Macaca mulatta: one gene and its partner. Each later gene encodes a partner of the first gene's protein in a complex. Links are inferred from orthologs where the notes say so. Each region holds a gene or a part of one and is shown in the gene's direction. Other genes may lie near its edges.

Region 1 (3,820 bases):
TATTTTTTTAAACTTATGTAGATTATAAAGCATTGTCTTTTCAAAGTATTTTTTTCTGACATTCTTAAAACTTGTTTTCTTTCAAAATATATGGTTCAAAATAATTCTGCTATTTCTAAAGTTCAGAGTTAAAGAATATTCTACAATACTACAGAAGCTTTTGAGTTTTATATGTTTTGGCCTGAATTATCCAGGCAACAGCCAAAATTCTTCCCTTACATTTGTGGCTTATGACAGTGCTGACTTTCATATCATGAGAAACTCAGAGATCTATCTCATGGATAAATCAGGTTTTTCAGATTTGGGAAAAATGAGAAAAACATTTTGGAAGAAATTGGGGATGATTTGTTAATGACAAATTTGTACTAACATGGCAGGAAAATATCCATGGAAACACCAGGTAAAGTTAATCGTTTGTTGCACCCTCATAAAAATTATTTGTACTTATTCCTTTGTTAACTTTTTTAAACAGTGAATTATGTTGAAAAGCCCTTATTTTATTCTTTATACTGGTAAATGTTAACCTTAAACACCAAAATTTTCCTTTGTTTTAATGATACCTTCTTTGTCTGTGAGTTTACAGAACTTTAAAGAACTGTCTCTAAAGTATTCTATGGAGATATATATATATCTTTAGAGAGAGAGATATATGTAATACATATATGTATCTTTATATATATCTCTCTCTCTCCACAGAAATAATAAATATTTAAACTCAATGTGTTTTGGGGGATGGTATAGAAAATGGAAGACATCTTTAATTTTCTGATATTTTAATAACTGAGACTTCTTAATAGTCTGTTTTGTTAATGAACTGGTTTTAGACGCTGCTGGCAAGTCAAGCGGTAGCCATTAAATGAACCTCTACTGCTGACATTAATTTACAGGGGCCAACAGGACAAAACTCTACGACATGATAGCTGATCTGGGAGATGATGAGCTGCCCCACATCCCTTCAGGAATCATTAATCAGTCTAGGTCAGCCTCTACTAGAATGACTGATCATGAAGGTGCAAGAGCAGAGGAAGGTACAGAATTTAGCTACCATGTTTATTTACATTTCAGAAGACCTTAAATCCAAATCACATCTTAATATTGCAACTAGGCTACTGTTTAAAATGTTGATGATCATTTTATATGATCTTTAGAGAAGGTGTTGGGCAAGCTCTTGATGTAATTAATTTAGGGATTTTGACATTTCTGGCTTCTATTTCTTCATATTTTGTTTTCATTTTTAATGTGAGGAGGAGTTGTTTCCATCATAGGTGAATTCAGAGTCTTTAATTTTAACTACAGATCCAGTAATGGGAAAATAGTAACTTACAAAAACAAACTTAAAATAATACATATGGAAAAAGCTGCTCATTTTGTCTTATTGCTTAAATTTAGCAGCTAATAATAATTACCACTTACTAGAAGACAACTGTGGTGCCAGGCATTGTGCTTGGAACCTTTTTTTTTTTTCTTTCTTTCTTTTTTTTTTTCCATGAGACTGAGTCTCACTCTGTTGCCCAGGCTGGAGTGCAGCTCACTGCAACTTTCGCCTCCTGGGGTCAAGCGAGTCTCCTGCCTCAGCCTCCCAAGTAGCTGGGACTACAGGTGCATGCCACCATGCCTGGCCAGTTTTTTGTATTTTTAGTAGAGACAGAATATTACCATGTTGGCCAGGCTGGTCTCAAACTCCTGACCTCAAGTGATCCGCCTACCTTGGCTCCCAAAGTGCTAGGATTACAGGTGTTAGCCACAGTGCCCAACCTGTTACTTTAAATATGTATTACTTTAAAAAATATGTGTAACTGTTGCCTCAATTAATCCTTTGAGAATAAGGCAATATCATTATTCTTTAACTTGGTAGCAAGTATATGCTACCTAGTAATGAATTTTATAAAATTTGCCTAAACTAGAAATGTGTAGGAAATGAAAGTACTACTTAAACGTTTTTTCCAAAATTGATTTTGGCCAAAGATATATAGGTATACTTGAATCATTTATAACTCTAAGTCTAGATGTTTATAAGTATTGAATCTGAGTTTTTAACCAAAGATTATTGTGACATACGAGATACAGTAATTTGGCATATATATTAAATTTCATTGATGTTATTGCCTTTGCTGTGTAAAGAGGATTTGTTTGATGTCCCAGTCAAAAAATTTTAAATGCATCTTGTTCCCTTTTAAGATTTCCCTAGTGGCACAGTTTCCTTACAGTTAAATAATTTTGCATTTTTTTCCCTCTCATAATTTACCATTTACTTCACTCACCTTAAAAAAATCACTAAAATAACAGTCATTCAAAGCAAAATGAATGAAAAATAAAATAGTGTCTGTTAATTTTTTCAGATCTCATTTCCACTATTGAGATATATTCCTGTTTTACTTTAGAATGAAAAATAAAATAGTGTCTGTTAATTTTTTCAGATCTCATTTCCATTATTGAGATGTATTCCTGTTTTACTTTAGAAGTATTTTCTAAACTACACATAGCAACTCCATTTTTTTTTTAATGCATTTAGTGATGATTTTGCTTCATTTTTGGTCTGTTTTGCCAAATATGCATAGCACAACTTGCTAAAATTTTTGTAATTAATGTACATTTAAACTGCAAGTTTTGCAGTTTAAGGCAAACCCATGTTAGCAGTGTGAACCCTTTTAAATGTTTCAAACCAATGACTTATGGTAAAAGCCAATCAAGGCACACTCTACACAAAAACCAGCTTAGAGCTCTCTATGTGTGTTTGTTTATGTGTTATGTGTGTGTTTTAAAGAAAGAATATAGGTCAGTGATCTGTTTCTTGATGCTGGGAGGAGGGCGAGGGGAGAGATTTGATAAATGTGAACTTCATTACAGTTTTTGAAGTGTCGATCTTACTAGAATTTGTTATTTAAAGAGATGTGAGTTTGACTTCAAGCTAAGAAGGCAGCTTTGGAGTACATAATCTCTTTATTTTCAGTGGCACTGTCCAACTTACTTCTTTACTTTTGAAGTCCATGTCCTACCTCATTTTGTAAAGAACAGTGTCTGTTTTCTAGGAGTGGTACTTCAACATTACAATCTTCTAGACTGTTGTTACTAAAGACTTGAGACATATCACATTGCCGCTGGTATAAATGGAATCTGTAACCTGGACTAAGTTCTTGGGAAAAAGAGTTCAGTATGTGAGCTACAGGTTTCCTTCATGATAAGTGTCCATCAAAAGGAAGATTAGTTATAAAAATCTGAAAAAAACCTTGTATTTTATAGACCCATTATACTAGTATTGTTATATTACTTGATGAAATCCTTCTTAGGCCTCCTAATAAAATGTCTTATAATTTCCATCATTAAATTAAAAACTAGGCCAGGCATAGTAGCTCATGCCTGTAATTCCAGCACTTTGGGAGCCCAAGGCAGGAGGATCACTTGAGCCCAGGAATTCAAGACCAGCCTGGGCAACATAGCAAAACCCTGTCTCTATTAGAAAAAAAAAAAAAAAAGATACCAAAACTAATTTTTTAGGCTGGTTAAAATAATTATATTTTTCTTTGAATTACTAATGACATTTTTATACTATGGGTAATTATATTACCATTAATAAAATGAATTTTTAGGATAGAAATTAATTCCATCTGCAGGGAAATAAGGGTAAACAAATGAGTAGCTGCTGGGATTACCATATGCCACAGTGATGGGTAATATGGAAAGCAGAGATAATAGTGTAAAAGAAGTTTTACACATATATATGTAAATAAATACTGAGTAAGCAGAATAGTTTGCAATATCTACATAAATATGTCATGAAATATATGTGTGTATATAGAGAAAAGGATAGAAATGTGGTCAT
Region 2 (3,820 bases), on another chromosome or scaffold:
TACAAAGGGACTGTGCTGCATAAACCAGTCACTTAGGCAGAGGTGTTTGACAGACTTAAAAAATGAGTCCACAACATGGGTTTTAAGAAATGAGATGGCATATTCATTAATGTTTAGGCCAAGCTGCCATCCTACTAGCTCTAACACATTGTCTCACAAAAGGTAGAAATTCATTTCTCCCCTGCACGTGGGGCCAGTGGCTCTGACCCACACTGTCACGGTCTGTGCTGGTGGGTGGCTCCACCATCTGGAGCCCCAGGCTTCCCTTGGTCTTCAGCCATTGTCCTCTCTCGCTGCCAGTGCTTCAGGGCCAAGACCAAGCAGGGGCACGGGGCACGTTTGCTCCTGTCTGTCCCGCTGGCAAGGTCTTAGTTGTGTGACCACAGGCTGCTGCTTAGAGTCTGGGAAATGTGGTCTCTTGTCGTGGCTGTGTGCCCAGCTGATAGTCCCTATTACAGAGCTTCGAAGCAGGGGAGGACAGACACGGGGAGGGGAAGTTACAAGTCACCCAGCGGTGGAATGTAGTCTAGGGTTTTTTCCTGGGTCCTATTTGAAGAGTCTGCAAGTGCCTGAATGATGGAGAGCATGGTCACGATGGTGAACGCCAGCCGATGACTTGGAGAGCTTGGCCTGGTCCGAGCTGCTTAGGAGGCACTCTGGGGTAGACAACAGCTAAATACCCTTTATCGTGGATTTTGATGCAGGAAGGATTTCTCCCCAAATAAAGGAGAGTTTTATCTCTTTTTCTCCTCTTCCTCCTCTTTCCCCATGGGCATATGAGTCAATGTTGGATGGTGTTCAGGGCAGATTTAAAGGGCAGAACCATGCAGATAGTCATCACAGAGCCGCCCTTAATTATCCAGGGGAGGATTTTCCATGAGTGTTCCTCACCTCTTCTTCTTAGCGCCCTTTGGGGATGACAGCCAGCCGCTCTGCCATTGCTTTCGGGAGACTTGGTAATGGAAGGGAGGGTGGTTAAGTCCAGGTCTAGCCAGAGGTTATTGATTGTTGGCTTGGGCATAGACTTGGTGAAGAAGGAGATGGGAGATGGGAGATGGGAGATGGGACCCAACTCTAGTGTGACTTTTGGTTTGTTTTTTTTTTGGTTTTTTGTTTTTTTTTGAGATGGAATCTTGGTCTGTCGCCCTGGCTGGAGTGCAATGGTGTGATCTTGGCTCATTGCAACCTCCGCCTCCTGGGTTCAAGCGATTGTCCTGCCTGATCCTCCCAAGTAGCTGGGATTACAAGCATGTGCCACCAAGCCCGGCTAATTTTTCTGTATTTTTAGTAGAGATGGGGTTTCACCATGTTGGCTAGGCTAGTCTCGAACTCCCCACCTCAGGTGATCCACCCTCCTCGGCCTCCCAAAGTGCTGGGATTACAGGCGTGAGCCAGCGCTCCTGGCCTCTCACATGACTTTGATCTTTGGTCGAGTGGATTCTCCTGCACTTCAGGGTTGGGAACAAAAGCAAACACTCCTACGTCTTACCCTCCTCCCCACGTTCCACCCAGGTGATGAGAAGAGTCTGTGTTCCTCATTTTGAAAATCAATATTTCTATATTCTATGAACACCGAAAAATAGATGTGGAGAAAACAGACTTACCACAAGGCAGGGTTTTCCAGATGGTGTTCTTTAGAAGAGTAGTTTCGATATGCATTTCTTGTAAAAAAGACTTTTGGTCAGTTAACTGGGAAAAACTATGTTCTGGGGAGCAGAGTCTGTGCCATAATGTCTTAGTCTGAGGTAACTTTTGGACAATATCTTAATTGGAATTTGGGACAGTTCCTGGCAGGCGATGGACACGGGCATTTTGACCTTCTCCGAGCATATGCGTGAGGTCAAATTCAAAGCGACAAGTGCATTCTCTGCGCCTGGGTCCTGAGTGGAGAAGGCCGGGGTGGCTGGATTCCAGCTGGGTCTACTGCCAGGCAGGCCAGAGTCGCATCGAGGCCAGTGTGTGGGGAGAGGCCACCTCTGAGAGTGGCCCTGACCCTGGGATTGCTGTGTAGACCGGGGCGGGCCTGCAAGCCAAGGCAGCACAGCTCACCCATGAGCCGGAAAGCAGCGCCAGGTGTGAGTCAGGCTGTGGTTTCGGTGACAAGGGCTGTCTTGGTTGCCCCCATCCTGCGCCCCACAAGCCCTTCCGGATGTTGAACAGGATGTCCCGGTGAAGGAGCTGAGATATGCAAGGGGGACTATCGGGGTCTGTCCCTGATAGTCTGAGTCTGTCCCTGCACGCCTCAGTCAGACGCTTCCCGCAGAGGAGCACCCTAGTTTTCATCCCCTTTGGCTTAAAGCACATAACTTATCTTTTTAAAACTAAGTGAAAGGCCCCAGATTGTGTCTTCCCGTTGGCTAAAATGTGTGGGTGTGGGCTTTGAAGACATTCACTGTCACGCCTGAAAACCAAGAATGGGGGACCATGATTCGGAGGAACCTGCCTGTATTGACATCTGCCCTCTGTCCGGCTCCGTTTCTGTGGTTCCGGGGAGCGTCGGTGGCTTTGCTGCTGTCGTCCGTGGAATTACTGTTTTTGACTGACTGCCCCACTCTGCAGGGGGCGGGGGCGGGGCTTCCCATCTGGTTTGAAGTGAGCCTGTTACCCTGGTTTTCCTTTCCTTTTAAATGGAGATGTGGATACCTGACATTTCTTCCTTTTGTCTTGTACAGTTGTGGATATAAAGGAGTCAGTAGGAACAATTAGTTTGAGTTTCTGAGAATAAAAGCTTACAGAGGTAATTATTACCTCAGGGATAATATAATAATTATTTTTATTATATAATATCGATTATATAACAAATCCCAAACTATTAGGATTTAAGCTGTTTCAGCTGCATTCCCCCAAGTTGGGGAGCTTTAACTGCGGATTTAAAAAATTTCTAGTACAAGGTTATCCTCAGAGGCGCCGGGCTCCTAGGCCTTTGTTCCTAGGTGTTTTTGGATCCCAGGGGTGAGCCTTCTGATAAGGGAACCACATATGTTGGGACAGATCCTGGCTGCTCTGTGAGTCTCTGGCTGTTTGTTTCCTGGAGTGAAATCCCCAGCCTGTGCCCCGCCCGTGCCATGGCCGGTGGGGCGTCCTGTGGTCAGCTGCAGGCGCAGGCGGGGCCGCGGGCTTCCTCATTGGCTCCGCTTTGCTTCGTTCAGCAAAGCCGTTTTCTTGGGCTCTTTGTTTTTTAAGTGTCTGTCAGTGGACTGTAATTGTTAGGGCAAAATCCTGTGTTTTAAGTGAAGAAGATTTCAGGTTTTAATTACCCTTGTCCATTAACATGGATAGTGTTTCTGTTTTATCTCAAACTGTTCATAAGATAATCATTTAAGTAACTTTAAGAATTTTTTCTCTTCTTAGTTAGAACCTGGCCCGTTAGATGAAACCCAGATCGCTACTATATTAAGAGAAATACTGAAAGGACTTGATTATCTCCATTCGGAGAAGAAAATCCACAGAGACATTAAAGGTAAGAGGACGTCTGTTTTCATTCCTTTGAAATACCGAAGGCGGTGGTGGGGTTGCACTGAAGCCTTCTCAAGGGAAGGTGCTGGCACCCATTTGTCCTGCACGTTTGCCTTGCCTGGGCTGGGCTGGCTTTGAGGGGGTCTGACAAAAAGTGTAGCCCCCAGTGCCTGTTCTCACTGGGCTCAACACCTAGCCGGGGAGAAGACGCGCTTGTGGCAGTGCATGGAGTTGTAAGTCCCCGCCGCTCAGGGCCCCCTTGGCTTGCTTTTGCAGCGGCCAACGTCCTGCTGTCTGAGCACGGGGAGGTGAAGCTGGCGGACTTTGGCGTGGCCGGCCAGCTGACGGACACCCAGATCAAAAG

What was found.
Region 2: STRN3 (region 1) and STK24 share a complex: the UniProt entries of both Homo sapiens proteins name them as parts of the core of STRIPAK complex. The link is inferred for Macaca mulatta from reciprocal best matches to the Homo sapiens genes STRN3 and STK24.

The regions. Positions count from the first base shown.
Region 1 is NC_133412.1:104,028,528-104,032,347, reverse strand, and holds part of STRN3 (striatin-3), read left to right. Parts: intron 1-887; coding exon 888-1,028; intron 1,029-3,820. UniProt on the Homo sapiens protein: Calmodulin-binding scaffolding protein which is the center of the striatin-interacting phosphatase and kinase (STRIPAK) complexes.
Region 2 is NC_133422.1:93,178,373-93,182,192, reverse strand, and holds part of STK24 (serine/threonine-protein kinase 24), read left to right. Parts: intron 1-3,351; coding exon 3,352-3,460; intron 3,461-3,732; coding exon 3,733-3,820. UniProt on the Homo sapiens protein: Serine/threonine-protein kinase that acts on both serine and threonine residues and promotes apoptosis in response to stress stimuli and caspase activation.